Drosophila melanogaster: one gene and its partners. The protein of the gene in region 3 interacts with the protein of the main gene of each other region in a pairwise test. Each region holds a gene or a part of one and is shown on either strand. Other genes may lie near its edges.

Region 1 (7,994 bases), on a different chromosome or scaffold from region 3:
GGCTACCCGACGGGGCGATGGCAGGGCACTGGGGTGATGCGGATGGGTGGCATGGCCGTGCAGTAGACCAGGATGACCCTCGTAGCCCTTCTCGTTTTGCGCCCGCTTCGTCTTGTAGCGATGGTTTTGAAACCAGATCTTCACCTGGGTCGGCGTCAGGCGGATCAAACTGGCCAGGTGCTCGCGTTCCGGGGCACTCAAGTAACGTTGTTGTCGAAACCGACGTTCCAGCTCATATGTTTGCGCCTTGGTGAACAGGACTCGTCGCTTCCGTTTCTTATTTGGCAGACCGTCGGATCCATTTGCATCCCCGCCGCCACTGCCGTCGGCGTCGTCCACGTCGTCGATATCCTCCTCGATGCCATCTTCGTTGAGGCTATCGTCGTGACCACTGCCTGCTCCGTTGATCCCCTCGGCCTTCAGGCTGTGGTTATTGTTGTTTGTCGTATTATTATTGTTGTTGTGTAGGGCATGGGCCGTCGGAGCGCCTCCGGCACTTCCATTACCAGAGGATCCATGGAGGGTGTGCAGGGCGTCGCCCACGGATAGTGCATCGCTATCGGCCGACCGGCTGTAGCTCTTGTAATCGCCGGAAAGGGCAGGCGATGTCTGGCAGTTGGAACCAATGTAGGTGTACGACACTTCCGAGGTAACTGGGGAGGTGCTATCCGGACTGGCGGGCTGCTGGGTACCTGAAATCAAAGAGGAAATCAAGGTTTTGGTTAATGTGCTAATTCTTCGTAGTAGATATATGGCTAAAACCGGGAGAAAACTCCCTTCTTAATATGCTGCTAATTGAGGAATAAATTGCTTGGGATAGCCATTTATTTATTTGCATTTTTCACAATGGTCCTACAGAATGGAAAGGCAATGGCAGGGTGCGAGCCCTGGGTGGGAATTTGTCAGCAATTGAGAAACCTCTTTAGCCGTAAATTAATGTAGCGACACACCCCTCCACATCGTCCAAGTGATCATGCAGAATTCGGGACAAAAGGGGGAAGTCAGTATCGCAACTACGGCAATTGGATTAGGCGCAACATGAAGCTGTGGTCGGAAACGATCCAAATGTCAAATGCCAGATGTATGCACTCCTTATGGTCCGCAGCGTCAAATCAACCCCTGCCCATCCCCTACGAGCTTCACCCTAACAACGCCAATTAGGCGGAGACAAACAGAGATCGCACACAAATACATACAAAAATACATGCCTAGGTGGGTATTCCCTTGTCGTCTACCTGAAACGATCGCTTCGATCTCTCGCTGAATGACTGCTGATCCTGGGCCTGTACTAAAAACCAGCAACCAGGATACTAATGGGACAACGACACAAAAGCCAGACCTCAAACACATCAATGGTAGCCGGGTCTCTTCCGGTTCGCCCCCTTTCGCAAGAGTTCCGAACTTCCAACAGATAGTGATTTAGTGATTTATCGCCGGGTGTGGCTATTTCTGATATTCTGGGGCGGGATCTGCGGTTGCAGAGGTATTAGAAGTGGGCTTATGCCAGTATTCAGGCAACTTCAAACGAGGCATGTAACTATAGAAAATCAAAAAGAAGCCCTTTAGTTCTTCCTAGCTTTCGAACTTTTGGATATAGTGCTGCGAAGGCAGCATTCCAAAGAATCGGAACGCGTCCTATCTGCATTTCTATTCCTATTGCAATGTATTTCATAAAATGTCTTCTAATGTGTGTATTCACCTGCCCGGGGTGATGTCCCCGTGGGACATTGATAAAACAACAAATGCAAGGGTCGTAGGAGCTCCTAATGCTCGCCTATCAGCTCCCACCGAGCTAGCCGCATTTGCCCTGCCACGGAAGCCATGCGCTCACCATGACAACTCAACAAATTAATAACTTAATATAATCAAAATGACTCTTCCTCGACTCCTTCACAGCTGTGGAAACTCCCAAAAAAAGAGCAGAAAAGAGAAAATAAAAAAACGGCAAGTGGGCAGCAGCTATAATTTGTAGCTAAACAATAAAGGAATAATAACAGAAGTGGGAAGGGATGAGGCGGAAGTGCGTGCCATAAATTTCCAGGATGAGAAATGTTTGGGCCGCAACAACAAGAAGCGATCGAGCGGGCAGCGATTGAATGTCCTGGCCGAAGGACACGAAGGACGTCAACTGCCAGAAAAACAACAGGGCTAATCCTCAAGTGTGAAGCGCATACAAACTATTAGTCATGATTAAAGGGGAAGCCCAACCCCTGCTCCTTGATTCCCAGTTATATACCCATTTCGATCCGCAGTTAACTGCCAACGAAAATAAAACACAACAGGGCCAGAATTAAACAAAGCTTGTCACACCCTGGAAGCACGTGAATCCGTCGAGTCCACAGGGTATGCAAATACAGCTGCCTCATCGCTCGACTGCTTCAACTCTCTGGCTCTCGGGAGCAGTGAGTGGTTAGTTACGGAACAGTATCATTAGTCGGCCAGTTAATCGGGGGTTAAATGCAGTCGAAAATTGTAAATTTCTTAAAGGGAGCTTCCTGCGGACTTCATTGATGAGTCTATTTTGAAACCAAGTTAATTCGTTGCTCTTTTGCCTACCCACGATTCAAAAGGATATTTGTTTGGGATCCAAAGACTTGCTTACAACCTGCCATTTAAGTGTTGCTTCTTCAAAAAGCCAACTCTAACTTGGTTATTGATATGGCCAGGAGCTATCTCCTGGAAATGGAGCAAATGAAAATGGATACATGCGTATCCATTTATGAGTTGAAACATTCGCTCACCGTATAGCTCGTTCTCCTTGATCCACGCACTCCTGCCCGAGTGCTGCAGCATGGTTTGGGCCATGTGGTGGTACGAGGACATCTCGTCGCCAAAGCTCCCCGGGAAGTTCTTGGGCAGGTTGGGCAGATATTGGCCGGCGGCCACAGCAGCCGCAGCCGCTGCATTGTGGCTGGCCAGCAGATGGGCGGCGGCTGCATTGGCATGGGCGTGGCTTTGGGCTTCGCCGCTCTGATGGTGCGCCAAAGGGAGTGGGGCCACCGCCTGCTGATGGTGCTGCTGCGGGAGGAGGAGGTGAGGGTGGTGGTGCTGCTGGTGGTGCGGGTGCTGTTGCTGCGGATGGCTAGGAGGGGCGTGATGCTCGGTGGTGCTGTGGTGATCCGCTTCTCCCGCTCCTCCCCCAGTCCCGCTGCCATTGTGGTGCTCGTCCGCGGAAACGCCCGCTGGCGTGGGCGACAGCGCCGAAGGCGAGGTGTGAGATCCCTGGCCGCGATGTCCACTGGTGGACTCACTGGCCGAGTGGTGACTCAAATCGCTGCCATGGTGGGCGGCAGCAGCGGCGGCAGCTGCTGCATTCTTCAGCTCAGAGCCCTCCAAATTCAAGATGTCCGATATATGGAAGCCAGAGCGTTGGGACGACGGCACCTTTGCATCGAATAAGCTGCAAGGAGATCAATATGTTAATTCTAACTGAACTTCAACACTAAAAATTTGAGTTAAATGTTTATTTCTCATTTCAATTGAGCACTCGCCTACAGTTTTAAAGAAAAAAAGGCAAAAAGCATACCAAAGATGAGTTGTAATAGTTTTTCTTGAGATTCTGTGTAGTTTCTTAATTGTCCCGGCAAATTGTCATATAATCGAGTGATTAATGACTCCCCGAGTATAAAGATGGCTCCTTAGAGGACGTGGAACGATTTTTCCCTGTTTCATGCTTATTGCAGCGACATCCTGTGTCAATCGTGTGAATGGCCGGAAGGTTTAACAAAAGGAGGTCCCTGTTGGTCGGGATATGCAAAGGAAACTACCTGCACTACCTGTAGCGCTCTGACTTTCACAGATTTTTGCACTTGCCGTTGTTAAGAAGATAAGGAGGTGGGGGGTGTGCATCCTGCAGGCATGCTTCGGAACCGAAAACGCGCACATTTCCCCCGGAATTAACTTTGAATAAGTGCACCCAAATCGCTGGATTATTGACACCTAGTCCCGGTCAGACCCCGAGTTTTGATTTGCCTAATACCATCAACAATTAAACGCAAATCCGCCTCGTAAGGATCGCAGCTACCTGGTCGGGTCAGTGCAGGTCAGCACAGGTCAGCAGGGACTCTTTACGGGTCGAAACAGGTCGTGCCACATGTTGGCGCAAGTTTGCTTGCTTCCGGTTTTCCCATTTCGAGTTTTCCCGAAGACCCCGACTCGCGAATTTCCCACGCTATGGACAGGCTACACGGGCATTCCCCGTCCTCCTGAGCGGAAATCCCATTGCCAGACAGTGTGACGCCAGTATCTCGAAGGCATCTGAGTCCCATGTCTGTCGTACACATGTCATTCCCGATTGGGGTTTCCCTGGCTCTCACCTACGGGAATTTCTAAGCCAGGGTCGAACAACAAGCCAGAATTTCCCAACCGCCATTCGCCAGGACCTTGAGTACTTGCCAGATCAAAGAGGCGGGGAATTATACCCTGTGTCCTGTACTTGCGCGCTGTGCCCGCTTGGTTAATTTAAAGAGCTACCAGGATTAGCCGGACAAGTCCATCAGCTATATGGGATCTAAACACTAATATGGAGGCAGAGGCTCGCAGGGTGTGATTTTAAGTCGGAGCTTAGGCGAAGGCAATTGCAAAGTATGGCTGGTCTTGCGTATTCTGCAGATTCTGCTTTCAACGCCCAATCTTCCAAATTATTAGATTAGGAGAATTAATTAATGGTCTTGCGTATTCTGCAGATTCTGCTTTCAACGCCCAATCTTCCAAATTATTAGATTAGGAGAATTAATAGAAAGACATAGAAAATTAATCGGGAACCCAAAACCTTGAAAACCATATCTGTTTTTTACAAAGTGGTCAGCCATGAAAGGCAAACGTATTGTCGGTGGTCAGTAATTTTGTTTCAATCTGAGGCATGTCCTTATTATCCATATCTTGGCCAGATCCATGCCATCAAAGTGTTACCAATGCTTAAGCGTTTATAAATAGCCCACAAAACAGAGGTCATAATTAGAAGAACTAGAATGGACTTGTGTCAACGTATCACCAAAATATGCTTTTCGTAACCAAGACATATGAATCATAGGTTTGTGTTCACCACTCCAGAGGTATCAATGTTTTAATTATTCCATTGGAATCCTTGTGCTTACCCAGGCAAAGCGTTTCGCAGGGCCGCCGGATAAAAGGCGGCTGGTAGGAGGGCGTGGTTCCACGGCGGCAGCAGGATGGGCGACCAGGGCAGAAACGGGGCCGCTGCTGCGGCGGCCACAGCCGCCGACGATGGAAGCATAAGACTACTCATGCTGTGGAGCCCCGGAAATCCGCTGAAGGCGGCTGCACCCGTCGGAATGCGGAGCTGTTCGGGCGCCAATCCGGAACTGGAACTTGTGTTCGTGGGCACGGTGGTGCTGGCGGTGCTGAAGACTGCGGCGAATCTCTCGTGATCTCTGTCTCGCTCGTGCCGTTCCTGCCGCTCCTTGCGATCCTCCCGGTCCTCTCGATCCTCACGCTCCCTCTTCCGCTCCAGCGAGGGCGTTGAGGTGCGCAGCGGGCGCTTCGGCGTGGCTGGGGAGGACGGACTCACCGTGATAGCGCTTTGGGGCGATGCGGGCAAGCTGCCAGCGCTGCCCAGACCGCTGCTGTTGTCCCGCTCGCGATCTCGATCCCGCTTTGAGGGGGTCCTCTCCAAGGACGCCGACGTGGTCATATCGCTTTGCGATATCGGGGAACCACTGTTTGATTTACTACGCTGCGACGCGGGTGGCGGCGTGGGCGGACTTTTGCGTTTCTCCGCCACTTTGGAGCTTTTACGGTGTTCGGAGCACGGAAAAAAAATATGTTTATGTGTAGTTACTGGGTAGCACTGCGATGAATTAAGCGGGTATCCTGGTAGGGCAACTTAAATTCCAGACATAGTTCGATTTAGGCTTAAGTTTAAGTTTATCACCGGGAAAGTTCGATAGTTCAAGGGTCGCGAGTCGTTTCTCGATTTCTCAGTTGCACGGGTCCGCGGAGCAGCGCACTCTACACATTCCAAACTGAAGTGTCATCAACAACTAACGAGGCATCAAGAACTCAACACGAGTCCAAGTCGCTTCAGAACAGCCAATAACCAAAACCCAACAACCAACGGCAGAAAAGTACCAGGTCGTATGCTCGGGGTGTCTTTGGGTATCACTATGTATGTGGTGCATATCTGTATCTGCATCCCTCTGCCATTGGGTACATAACGCAGATACTCGGATAGTCGCACACACACACACACATACACAAACACACACACGCACACAGCCAGACTGGAGAGACTCTCGGCTTTGTTGGGCGCGCTAAGTGGCTTCTTATGTCCTTTTCAACAAGGATACGGCAACAATGTGAGTGGCCTATTCAACCACCGAGAGAACCAACCACCATTCGTCGCCAGAGCGAGACGTACGATGTGAACCGAGTCCTTATGCCGCACGTCATCCCGCTCTAACTCTTTCCTGTTGCTTTCTCTGCCGCTCTCAAGAGTGCCACTTGAGTGAGAGTGTGTGTGTGCTGCAGCCTCTGTGTATGTTTGCTTGTGTGTGCGCGAGAGTGAGTGTGGATGCGAGGCCATTGTAGCGCCTCACGAACCTCCTCAGGCACGTCGGATTGACGTTCCCAGATAGGGATTCTGGGATTGGGCCGTTCTCTTCCAGCAGTGCTCTGCACTTGATGTTGTCAGCATTCCCCGCGTCATTTAATTGTATTTATCATTATCAGCTCTCTGCAACTCTGGACTTCCGGAGCGGGAACATCAGCCCCGACTTGTGGCGCCTATGCGGTGGGTCCAAGGAGAGGACAGGACAGGGCAAGACATGCGATTGTGACCGGCATTTAGCACGATAATATCAGATGGTGATATCAGCCATTATCCTATTGAGGAACGAGGGCGATAAGAAAAATTTTCTGGAATTACGCTCTCGCCTTTTCTATATGTAGTTGGCTATTTAAGAATCAGATCAATTCATCATTTAAAATCCCAGTCGGGTTGTAATACTTTGAGATTTTGAGTACCAACCATGATTAGATCTGGGGAGGATTGATCACATATTTGTGATTTTATATTAGTCAGCAACGAAATCTTATTTTGAACCACGAACTATTATTTTAATACTTAAAAGGCGCACTGCGAAAACCCTTTTAAAGGCATTCTCACATTACCATACCGGTGAAAGAACGTTATTTTTGCGAAGGCATTATTTTCTTCTGCCGTGTTAGTGGTATGCTATTATACTTGGACATTTAGTTTACTTCACGGTACGTTCTTTGGGAATTGCAATAAATTTCTTGCGTGCAACGGAACTGTTATAGACCACTTTGGCACTGACATAGGGGCCTTATGTACAAGGAGTGTCGCTGTTCGTGCAATTTGAATTTCGATTTCATACTCGTAAGCCAACTCGTGATTAGTGCAGATCCTTCAAACGCCAATACATGGCGCCGTTCCTTGAGAGGTGGCTTCGGGACACACCCCGGACACTCACAGATAGGGAGAGTGCGAGCGAGGAGGTCGAAAGTAAAGTATGGGAATATACATAATCAGCACGAGCAGTAAACGACAGGACAGACTGAACTGGGGGTATCCGCCCGAGGCAATTGAAAACATGGCAAGAGTCCGTTGGGGCTGGCCCCATTTACATATGGGCTGGGGGCTATATACATATATCAGAATATGCATATACATATATATATATATATATATATATATATATATATATATAAATATATGTTGTGTATATGAAGGAAGCTCCATGATCCCTATCCACGAGCATCCGCCCTCTAAAAGTGGGCACCCCACTGTCGCTCATGACTTCGCACCATTATTCTCCCCATGGGGGAATGGAGGTGGTAAGTGGAGGGGGTAGAATTTTATCTTGTAATAACCTCTGCCGACGACGACGTCGCCGTCAAGTGGGCGCGTCATGGCCGCCTGGCCAATGGGAAGAGCGTGCGAGCAGGAGAGTTATACCGTGCGCACCGTGCGCTGACGCGCATGTTTGGGAAATTTTGGTTACGCCAAAGGA
Region 2 (4,934 bases), on a different chromosome or scaffold from region 3:
ATCGAAAATGCGACCCCCCATGGATGGGAGAGCGCGTCTATTTGCGATCCGCTTATCGTCAAGTGATTATCATCCGTCTGGGTCACCAGTTCAAGTCGCCGGACGACGATAAGGACACTGCCCCCCCTTTGCAGCTGACGCACTTCGGAAAGATCGGGAAACGTACGTATATAGTCGAAATGGAGAATATTGGCAGAAAATGGACAAGTTTATATGTATGTAGCTTCCTCCAGCAAATTACGTATCTCTAGTACCATTTTGTTGTTCAACGTTTCCAGCTGCTAACTAATAATCCCTGGAAGATTCTTCTATTTTCAACGCAGAAATGAATTGGACACGCAAAATTTTAGCTGCAAAAACTGGAAACTGGTGATTCCCACTAAATTGAATGCTAATTTCTGGCCACAAGTTGAGTGCAAAATGCATATACATATGTATGTATGTATATTTATATACAAATCTGCCCACACGAATGGGAAATTCGATTTAATGGCCAATGCCAGATTCTTTTTTTTTTTTGCGTTATCAGTTTAAATATTTAGACAAGTGCAAACGAGAATGACAACAACAATGCTCGATAGGGCGCAAACAGCCGAGAAATTCGAGTAGGCCCAAAAACGAGTTTCAGGCCGAGGTAGCGAATGTGAATCAAAAAGATTCAAACTTGGCGCATGGCGACGTTTTGAATACACTAACAGTACACTGATACAAATACGGTACATATATGTACATATGCTATAAGATCTCAATTAAACTACACATGTACATAGGTACTTAACAATGATACTACTATAAACAACACTTTCAGCGGATCGATGGCATGCCATCCACGTAGGGATAGTGCAGTGTGGGAACACATGGCTGAATGAAACGCATGAAGCACATGGCGATTAGCCGGGCATGCCAGGAGCCGCAAATGGAAGCGAAACACAAACTTTCTGAGCACCGCGATCACTGCAAGAATTAAAGGCAATCGAAATGCGAGTCCCCCAAATGGTTCAATTAGCCACACTTTTTCCACCCTCCCCTTCACTTTGCCTGGGACTTTCCCGGCGAACTCACCTTCAAAGTGCTCTGCTTGGAGTCCGAATATCGTCTGATCGCCGGTAAGAATGGCGTTGGTGATGGTTGTTTTTTGGCGGCGATGCGAGTTAAAGCTCCGCTAAGCTTTCCAGTCTCGAAGTTAACCGGGTTGCCAACTTTGGTGTTCAGGTCCCGACTAAGGCAAAACCGAAGCTTTTGTGTCAGTGTAGAGCGCGCCCGCTGCATGTCTTTGTAACTGTAATAAGCAGAATTTTATAGATTTTAGTGGATGTTTTTCAACAATCCTTGGTAATTATTAGTACTCACACGGCTGCGTTCGAATCGGAACTGCCGCAAAGTGAGAAGAGTCGCCGGCGCTGAGATGACGCCGCCGCTGGCTGATAAGCGATAACGATAACCCGTGACCCCTGACCGACCCAGTGATAAGTCCGCCCAAGAGTTCCGACCCGATCGCTGCGCTATCTCTTGGCCAGCATCCAAAATATTCGACACCGAAAATACAACGAAGCGAAAACACGCGTTACGTTGGTAAACAACATTTACCAGGCTAACAGATATCAGCTGTTTGGGTAGTTGGATCGCTGGATTTAGAAGCTTTTGGCGCCGTCTGGCAACGCTAGCGATAGCTACCAATTCTTGTATAAATATTTACAATTTGTGGAAATGTTAAGCGTGTGTGCCTCTTCAATTAATATTAACACTTTATTTTATATCATAATATGCGTTTCTCTCAATCCCTTAAAATGTACGTAGTTATCAAACGCGCGATAACGTTAAGGCATTTAAAGTACCCGCCAAATTGCTGGTACTGCGAACCGGTTTAAGTTGCCAACCGATTGGGAGAGTGCAACATCTCTCTCCAGCAACATTGCTGCCAGCCAAAGTCTATATAAGCAACAACGAAAGTTCAATTCTTTTCACTCAAAAATCCGTCTCCTCCGCGGTACGTTTCACTTCGCTGCGCCGCTAAAAGAAAATTCCTGGAAAATATTAACAAACACATGAGCCTAACATTCTTAACAATTCCAAAACAGAACATTTATTTTTGGTGAATTTCCTGACAATTTAGTGGTTAGTGTTTAATGTTAAAACATTGCTGTGCGCATTTACCGTTATCCGCTCGCAAGGCAAAAGAAAAAGCGCGCGTTTTGAATTCGCTGTTTCGCATTATTTTTTTTTATGTTAAAAAACAAAATATAGAAATGAAACAAAAATGGCAAGCCAGAAATTAAATGAATGAATGAATTTTTTTCGACACAATTCTGCTGCGTGTGCAATTCGATTCGAATAACAAAACAAAAAGCATAAAGGAAAAGTAAAAGAAATTCGAGGGGGGAAAAAAACGCCAAAAGAAAAGATAGCGCGAAAAGTCATAAAGAAAAGGTGAGAAAACAAATTATTTATTTCATGTGCTAAAAAGACACGCAAAACGAACGTCGTTTTATTTTTAGCCAAACAAAAGTTGTGTGTTATTTGTGCGATTTTCTGTTTTTGTTCGCCGCTCTCCCCTTGTTTTTTATCGTTTTTGTTTTTCAATCATATATTTTGTGCTTCTTTTTTTTTTTGCATGTTTTGTTTTGTGCGTGCTCTTTTTTGTTGAATGCAAAAAGGCGAACAAAATATTACGATAAAAATTCCGTTGTTCTCGCCGAAGGTTTCCGGGTTTGTTGACTTTGCCAGCTGAATATTCGAAATTGACATAAATAATAATCGCATGCAATTATTGTAAACAATTGTTTTTCGCTCAGGAAACGATTGGCGCTTTTTCTTCGCTTATTGTAATTGTTGCTGCCAACTAATCGCCAAGATAAAAATGAAAAAAGAGGGGAAAAAACCTACAGAGTTGCAAAAAATTAATTAAATTCATAGGCCAGTAATTTACATTTTTTGTGTGATTTTTTCGCTTTTTTTGTAGTTTTTGTCTAAGCTTGATAATTAGGGTTTTTTGCGGGCTGTTGTTTATCTGCTACAGTTGTACCCAAAATAATAGTCGATGCTTAAAAATGTTTACAAAAAATGTAAATTTTTGTGGCGCTTCAAATAGCTTTACTACGATTTCGAACACAATTGTATATCTTAAGTTTTGGGGCTATTTTTTGTGCTGGTTTTAAATTTTGGTTTATCGGTTTTTGTTATTTCTGTGGCTTTTAGTTTTCTTCTTCACCTGTTTAGCCTTATTTTTTGTTGTCGATTTCGGCTTATTTGTTTTTAGTTTTTTGTTGCACTATTTGAATGCGAGTTTTTTTGTTGTTGAGAGAGGCATTTCCGCCTTTATGGCAAAAGCAATTTACAATTTGCAATTTACTTTTCTCTCGTTTTTTTGCTGTATGGCAATTCATTTTTACAACTTTAATTATATGAACAAAAACTGCAAAACATGAACGGCAAAAATTAAAATTGCAAATCGCATTTGAGTGACGTCGCCGTCAACGTTTCTCCTTCCTTTTGTTTTTGTCGGCTGTTTTATTCGGTTTTTTGTTTTCACAGCGGCATTCGCCTGCGCAAAAAAAAATAAAACAGCGAATCAGTGTGTGGAAGATTGTGTGGAGGGGGGGCAGAGAGCGAGAGAGAGAGAGAGGAAGAGAGCGTATCAGGAGCGAATCTGGAAATTTTTGAACCAAGCTACCGATTTGCAAGAAGAACATGAAGTTAACAAAATATATAGGTTATTGAGCAACAAAATTACGTAAAACATTTAAGATATTTAATGGCACTTAACTCGAATATTTACCCCCTGATCCGGCCCTGGCTTCTGTGCGCTAGTGTTGGTGTGCGTGAGTGCTCTCTCTCTCGTTCGCTGCTCTCTGCTCCCCATCTTCATCGACCCCCCACCACCCGCCTTCGCCCCACTCACACACATTTCAATTACATGTGAAACGCGTGCTCCAAATTTCAAGTTCATTGTCCAAAAACAAATCAGAACAAAAGCGATAACAAACAAGCAAGCCAAAGGCAAAAAAACAAGGGCAGGTCAGCATCCGACGTGCCACGCCCCCAAATTTGGAATATATACATACATATATGCATATATGTTCATATACATACCTATGGACATAATTAATTAATTTATAAATGTGGGAGAAACGCTTAAATAAAGCCTAAAATTAGTCTAAAACTACAACGATTGATATTCCAACAAAACCAAATTCGAAATATAAAACATTTTCAAATCGATTTCGAATAAATGCATATTTACCTGGGCTTCGAGATTTGAAAGCTTTGCATCTAGATTTCATTATCATAAATTATTCGTAATATATGATATATCATGTAAAAAACTTTTGGGTATTCCCACAGTCGAGTCGAAATAAAGCCGTGAAGTATTTATAACAAAATCACACTTATTTTCGTGTTATTCCGCAACCAAATAAAAATTCTTTAGAAAAACAATGCGGCAGTAGGAAATAAAGCAAAAAACGACACAAATTTTGACACGAAATATTGTTTTTCGTGTGTGATTATTTTGTTGTTGTCATTTTTTGTCATACCAGCTTTAAGTTTAGTTTACTCTATGTGTTTATTTATTTTCATTTTGGTAGTTGGCAAATAAAATTCGCTTACGTAAATTTTGGGGTTGTTTATGTTTTGCGCACTATATATGAAAAATGATAACTATAATTTGCAATGCGTAAATAATGTTTGTCAAATGCCGACAAAGTTCCTTAAATCTATTCACAGCGTTTTCAATTTCAATTTCGCCGAAAAAGGGTTTGATTTTGCAACCATTTCTTTTTCATTGAGCTCCCCACTTTTTTTTTCCCTCATTCTCTGATATCAGCTCATATTTATAATTAAAAACAAACAATAAAAAACTGCACTGCAGACGGCAAATCGGAAAAATATAACAAAAAATAAAAAGAAAAGAAGCCATAAATATACACACATATGTG
Region 3 (3,838 bases):
ATTATGTAAGCCCGAATTGGCTGCCATCGTCGTCAGCTGACCTACCTTTTAATTGGTACCGCCTCGGCAGGTGGGTGTGCACACGCGAATTTTGGATTTGGATTCGGCAGTGTTTCGAGTACTACAAAATATATATAACGCCGGGCGCAAGCACAAATATTTCCAATTACTTTCGACCGAAACGCGTGCGGCACCAAAAATCAACAAGCTGCTTCTTCTTCTTACACAGTGATGCCAACTTTTCAGCTACATAAATGGACAACATAAAAAAAGCTAGGACTGTTAACATTTTGTATGGAACATGTGATTACCGTCTTCAAAGTATTTAAACGGCATTGTTTGAGTGATATATAGTTTTAATTATTTAATATAGTTCAATACATTTATAAGCTAAATAGCCACCACTAGTGTATAGTCGATATATTAAATCGATAACGTTGTCGCATCAAAAGGTCACACTGCTTGAGCAAAAAAACCAAAATAAAACATTTAAAATTAAGCGATTTGATAATAAAGAGACTCGCTTGCTATTAAAGTTATAAACGCTATCCGGGAATTTATTAATCTCCATTTAAATTAAATAAAGTTATATTGCTAAATCCTCGCCTCCAGAGGCACATTTAATGGCACCATCCTTACACTACGGCGAATACAACTACGATTTTCTTACTTTGGTGCATCTGATGCCCTTGGATTGCAGTTTTCTCATGATGTCCAAGGTCTCTTGATTTTTGGTTGGATTTAGCTCAGTCGTGGCATTCAATTGGGTACTTGCTCGCTTCACCTCCACACCGCATGCTCTGAGTTTGTTTAGGATTTTCTGGGTGCCATCCAATGGAGGAGTTGATTTGCTTGTTATGGTAGGAACTGGTTTCTCGGGCGTCTTGGGAGGTTCTGGTACTTCAGATATCCTTGAAGAGACTGGTATAATAAGCTTCGATGCAGGAGAAAATTTCATGGGTACCAATTGAGATGTTGACTGCGTTGTCCCGGTAGCACGAGATTGCAATGACCTTACAGGATGTACAGGAGCTGGTGGTGCCTCTGGAATCCTTTCCTTTTTCTCCGTGTCCTGCAATCGCTTCAGATCTTCCAGCACAGTGGGCACCAGAATGATGGCCTTTTTCATCTTTACTGCTGGCGGTTGAGGGGAAGTCAAGCAGGCACGGGATCTGCGCTGCTGCTGGGAGGTCAGAATGGTACGTCGGGTGGTGGGAGGGCTACGCGGACGTTTCGCAGGCACCCCTTCCGGTTCCTGAGGCTCCTTGGCGAGCGGCACTACATCCTCCTTTACTATATTTTCCTTGGAATTTGTCTTTGGTATGGTCTGCACGGTGGGCTTGGGATTGGTGTACCAGCGTGGATCCTCCAGCTCTGCCTCCCAATCGATGGCCGTGTTGGTGTTCTTCTTAACCGCCTCCAGGTCGTAGATGTGAATCTGCAAGAAGTGAGTTCAATCAAAAGGATTCTCAGGAAGTTTTCAGGGCAACGCCGGATCATGGAGCTCCCTTAGCTGCCTACCTCCTGTCTGCCATTCACCAGTCTCGTTTCCCGATTGGCATCATCAAATGCCAGCGGTTCGATCGGCGTTACTATGTATTTTACTCCGGGGCAATCGGCTAGGTGGCGTTGGAACGATTGGAGCGTCATAAAGTGGCATTCGCAGCTGCGGCACAGCGTTAGAAGTCGTTTTTGGTCGTCGTATAGAACGTCGCCAAGGCGAATCGTCTTCATGGACTTTATTTTACGCGATCCATTCATTTTTTTTGTAGCCAATTCGCGCCAAGAAGAAAAATGGTATTAAAAAATTATTTCAGTTTGTTTTTGCATTCGTGCAGAGTGGCCAGACGTTGAAACGTAGTAGATGTCAACGATTTTTAGTTGGTACAAAATCTGACATAAAAATACCAAACAGTTGCTATTCATTTTGTTGCGCGCCTAAATTCAAAGCACACAAAAAACCAAATAGGAAAAACACATTACACATTAAAAAAAAAAACATTTAGATATAAGATTTGATAAGGATGACGATATATAAATGGTATAATAAAATGTTTGGAATAATTTAATATAAATATTATATAAATAATTTATGTTTATATGTAGTTTTGCTCAGATTGATAAAAAATAGATGAAAACATACTTTCACTATGTAAAATAGAACGATTTTTTTGTTTACGGTTTTTGGTCCATGAATCGAAAATTACTGGAAAGATTTTATTTGAACTGCTCCTGCTCATTTTTTGCTGCATTAATAGTAACTCTCTGCTTTCTTTTACATTGTCGAATAAGTGGACTAGCGTTTTCTTTGTTCTTTTTCCCGTGTTGGCTTTTGTTTCCTTTGATTAACGCCCATGCAATTGAAATTAAATCGCTTGCAAATGATTCGCAAGCTACCTAAAAAAAAATTGGGCAATCCAAAAAATGACATCGTTTATGCAGCCGGGGACTGCGCCATTTGTAAGCTTGCCATTTTTTCGACCAATGTGATATGGAGCCATATGGAGGGAACATTGTCTGATTTTGACTTCAACTCGAATGTCTGTCTAGTGTGTGTGGAAAACAAATGAAAAGGAAATCCAGCACTTTTTGCGTACCTACATATATATTAAATTTTTTTTTTTTGTTGTTGTAATGTTCCGCATAACGAGCACGGACCATGTCGAACCACGTGCAGCATAATCACCCGGCAGAGCGTAGGTGAGTATCGTTGGCATATTCTTGATATTTTTCAAACTGGCCCACTTTTGGTTGAATTTTCCTGCTATTCTTGCAACTTAATAAGTGAACTTTAAAGAGCCGCATCGCTTACAGCCCGGAAATTGTATGGATCTGTGGGTCGCAGCTCCAGCGGCAATTGGATGAAGTTGCCGATGCTGATGAGGCTGCTCCTGCAGTTGCTATTCCTGCATGCAATTAAGCCAGGGACGAGAGCGAGGCACAACTTGCCACTCTGTGTGTCCCAAAACTGCAAGCTGACCATGCAAATTACGTTGCCCACACTCATACTTGCACACGCTCTGCTACACACACGCATTCCTGTCGCCTCGTTTGGGGGCCTGCGGGGCTCCCCGGCATTTGAGTGATGCACCAAGTCGAGGAAGCGGAGAAGGTGGCCAGCTAGCTGGAACCCCATTGCCGCTGCCACTGCCACTACTACTACTACTACTAACTGCCACTGCCAAAGCTAAGTTAAATGGACCTGCGGTGCACTCGAGCAGCCAGGACGCAAACTACAGTGGATACCGCTTAAAGTATATAACTGTTATTATTTGTATTGTTTATTGTACTGATCCTAAATAGAAGATATTAGCTTCCCTTAAAACGCCTGACTGTGCTGTGATGCTTCTACACAAATTAGACACAATTCGAAACTAGCTTGTTGGCTGCTAACAGTTTGGATATAGCCAGGCACCACTGTACGCCGTGCATGCAGATTGAAGTGCAGACCATGTCAAGGTAGCGGCTGCAGCTTTGGCCAGTAGATTAAATTAAACGTGGCAAAGGAGACGGCGCCAGAAGAGGACGAGCTCCGTGGCTAGGTGGCTCCATGGCTCCATGGCTGCATGGCTCCGTGACTCCGAGGGCTCGCCAGCCAGCCAGCTTGCCAGGAGGAGCAACTGCAGCCATGCGATGGCAATGGCAACGGCAACGACAATGGCAACAACATTAAACGTGTTTACACCATGTCCGACCAGTTGATATGCCAACTGCCCCCCGACCTGTCCTGCACCCCACCACACACACACACACTCACTGGCACACACACACACATAGGGATGCGTAACCAGGCATGAACTGCTCTTGGACAATGAACACATGCCATGGCAGGGCATTA
Region 4 (2,858 bases), on a different chromosome or scaffold from region 3:
AAGCGGAGGCCTAGACAGCGATTAGTTGGGGCAAATAACAAGCCACAACAAGGAAATCACCAAGAGTACTCGTCTGCGACCAGAGCATATAAATTACACCAGCTGGACGTACACTTAATTTGTAGCCGAGGCATTCAAACCGGTTGGGGCTCAAATCGCTAAACCCCCAGCAGCTGGAAGCCAGTGACACACAATAGCCAATTGCCAATTGTCGTTTTTGAAACGCTTTATGTTCAGAATAAGTATTTTAAAATCGTTTACAGCAAAGTGAATCGATCGGCTTCGAATCATCAATTTGGGTTTTGTATAACAAACAATAAGTACACCACTGTACACAGCATACATTACAAACATTAAAACTATAGCCTAGCATCTGTATGTGGGAGTTACTTAAAACTAAACGCTCGACCTCGACGCGCCCACGATGTAGCCCTTGGCGGTGAGAACGCCCCGGCAGCGGACATGCACCTGGTAACGCAGTGTCCAGTCGATTGTGTAGCCAGGGACCAGTCCGTCGAACTGCTCCACGGGCAGCAGGAGCTCGGGATCGCTGTGCGTGTTCAGTTGGATGTCGTGAGCGGTGCAGAACTCCTGCAGTTCTGGTGGCACCACGCAGCACGTAGACAGGTTGACCTGGGCAATTGTGGGCACAACCTGTGCGCTGTTGTGTAGCTCCTCCAGCGCCGCCGCATCCAGATCGGCAATTCCCAGCTGTGTAATCTGCTGCTTGAGGGCATATTGCTCCAGTGTTTTGTACAGTTCCTTCAGCTCTGCCACTCCTTCCTTTCCATTGCGCTGGCTCCAGTTTGTAGCCCTGCTGACGTTGGAATCCTCGGAACAGGGCGGTTTGGTTGTGGCCACCGGCGTTGCGGTGGCAACCGCATTCGGGTGGTAGGCCAACACCACATTGTCCACGTGCGTCACACTAAGTATGTGGAGCAGCTCCTCCACCGCCTGATTCACAGACTCTGTGGAGTGGCGATTGAGGAATATCTTGGCACCGATACTTATCTCATTCCGTCCATTCTCCGTCAAGCGGGTGGTCAACTCCTGGGTGGCCCTTTGCACCCGCCCATGCAGCTCGTCGATCTCCTTTTCAACCACCACGCGCTCCGCAGTCGAGTCGGTGTGGAGCGTTATCTTCAGGCCGTCGTACAGCTCCTCGTTCGATTTGCGCTGTCCCAGTTCCGTGGCGATGATGTTGCCCGTGCTAATCACCACGTTCTGGTACTTCTTCGTTATGGTCGGTATCATGGTGACAAGTGTTCTCCTTATTTGGTATCTGCTACTTTCGCGACCGTCCAGACAACTGCAGCCCTCTCAGGTGTGTGAAACGCGTGTGTTCTCGAGCACCGACCGCTTGGCCACTTAAATACACTTTGCACCGAAGTGTGGAGAGAGAAATAAATTCTGCTGACAGCTGGTGATGGACGTTGGCCGATTGGCTTCGATAAGGTTATCGAAAAGTATCCATGCGCCGCCAGGGGTACTAGATCCAAATGAAATACAATTTAAAATTCGAATGTATAATAATAATTACAGTGTTGCCCAACTAATAAGTCTAGTGCCCTCATTGTTCATAAAAAGCATGACCATTGAAAATGTATTTAAAATTTGTATTTTAAGCTTATATATTTAGGTAGCTATTTATTTAATAAGGAAAAGCAGCCGGTTAATAAAACAATTTTATTGAGTACGTATGCCTTAAAATGTCATATCTAACCGGTAAATTGTAACGGTTTCCAGTTGTAACTGTTGTTTAAAGTGTTCAATTTGGAGATTTAGAGATTATAATAGAAGAACTAGGATGTGTGGACGGGCTGTGCGCGATTGGTTGGTGCTATTGACCATGGAGAAGTACATTGGTAAATTCCTGGAGCGGGGGTACGACAGCATTGAACGCTGCAAGCTTATTATCGTAAGCGATCTGATCATGCTGGGAGTGGATAATCCCGCTCATAGGAAGCTCCTGCTCGAGGGAGTCCGGTTCTTGGTCAACGCACCCGAGCAGTTCATCTGCAAGGAGCCGTGTGAGCTGCATGAGGAGATTGAACTGAAATTAGACCCGGATGTTGAGTTGTTTGCTTCGCTAAAGTGCCTGGAAAATGTTGATTTCCTAGAAACACCTGTTCCATATTCGCTAACATCTCCACAAAAGACGCTCACAACTCGGGACTCTTGCAAATGGAATGTCAAAGGTGTGGATCAGTTACCTTCCGATAACATATTTAACTAAATACAAACAAAGCAAAAAATAATGCGTGTGATAAGGATCTTTATATATTTTTAAGAACCAATAAAACGACAATTGAAAAGCTGTTTTACAACACTATCATAATCAACCAATATAATTTCGTAAATATTTTTCAGTTTAAATAAATACATATGTATCTATTATATTAAAGTAAAAAAAATGGGGTGAGCAGATTACAAGAAACTCATACTCCTGTGTTTTTTAATTTAATGAAAATTACTTAAACGTAATTAAAGGATTCAACAAAGCGTTCAACAAATACTTGATGCCTCTCATCAAATCTTGGAGGCGTGCATCCATGGGTGAAGCGGCCACCACTCGCTCGATGCTGGCCGTACCCAAATCCCGCGACCGGCACTCCACACACTCGATGGTTTTCAGCTTCACCTGCACGTTGTCAGCCAAAAGCCGAGAATTGTGCAGGATTCCATAGAATAGTACAACATCGCCCTCGCTTAGGAGCCGTGTGAAGTTCCCAAAGTCATGGTGAGCTCGTAGGATAACATCTGTGGTGGTGGAACGACCCAGTAGACGGCCACTCCTCTTGGTGCCCACCTTGACCAGCAGCTCGTACTCGTAGCGATTCCATCGCTGCAGTGTGCAA

Evidence for each region.
Region 1: the proteins of CG10265 (region 3) and vnd interact in a two-hybrid assay, tested with the Drosophila melanogaster proteins (one large-scale study listed by BioGRID).
Region 2: the proteins of CG10265 (region 3) and CG3726 interact in a two-hybrid assay, tested with the Drosophila melanogaster proteins (one large-scale study listed by BioGRID).
Region 4: the proteins of CG10265 (region 3) and CG17625 interact in a two-hybrid assay, tested with the Drosophila melanogaster proteins (one large-scale study listed by BioGRID).

The regions. Positions count from the first base shown.
Region 1 is NC_004354.4:589,054-597,047, reverse strand, and holds the start of vnd (ventral nervous system defective), read right to left. Parts: upstream 6,007-7,994; 5' UTR 5,654-6,006; coding exon 5,097-5,653; intron 3,401-5,096; coding exon 2,742-3,400; intron 693-2,741; coding exon 1-692. UniProt on the Drosophila melanogaster protein: Probable transcriptional regulator involved in the regulation of the proneural AS-C genes and the neurogenic genes of the enhancer of split complex. Could specifically activate proneural genes in the ventral-most neuroectoderm.
Region 2 is NC_004354.4:5,915,201-5,920,134, forward strand, and holds the start of CG3726 (uncharacterized protein), read left to right. Parts: upstream 1-1,896; 5' UTR 1,897-2,427; intron 2,428-4,934. Other genes in the region: Shmt (serine hydroxymethyl transferase), read right to left, coding at 1,063-1,269.
Region 3 is NT_033778.4:14,991,991-14,995,828, forward strand, and holds CG10265 (uncharacterized protein), read right to left. Parts: upstream 1,846-3,838; 5' UTR 1,762-1,845; coding exon 1,522-1,761; intron 1,439-1,521; coding exon 656-1,438; 3' UTR 533-655; downstream 1-532.
Region 4 is NT_033777.3:22,685,097-22,687,954, forward strand, and holds CG17625 (uncharacterized protein), read left to right. Parts: upstream 1-1,752; 5' UTR 1,753-1,807; coding exon 1,808-2,236; 3' UTR 2,237-2,311; downstream 2,312-2,858. Other genes in the region: Gclm (Glutamate-cysteine ligase modifier subunit), read right to left, coding at 397-1,254; wfs1 (wolfram syndrome 1), read right to left, coding at 2,471-2,858.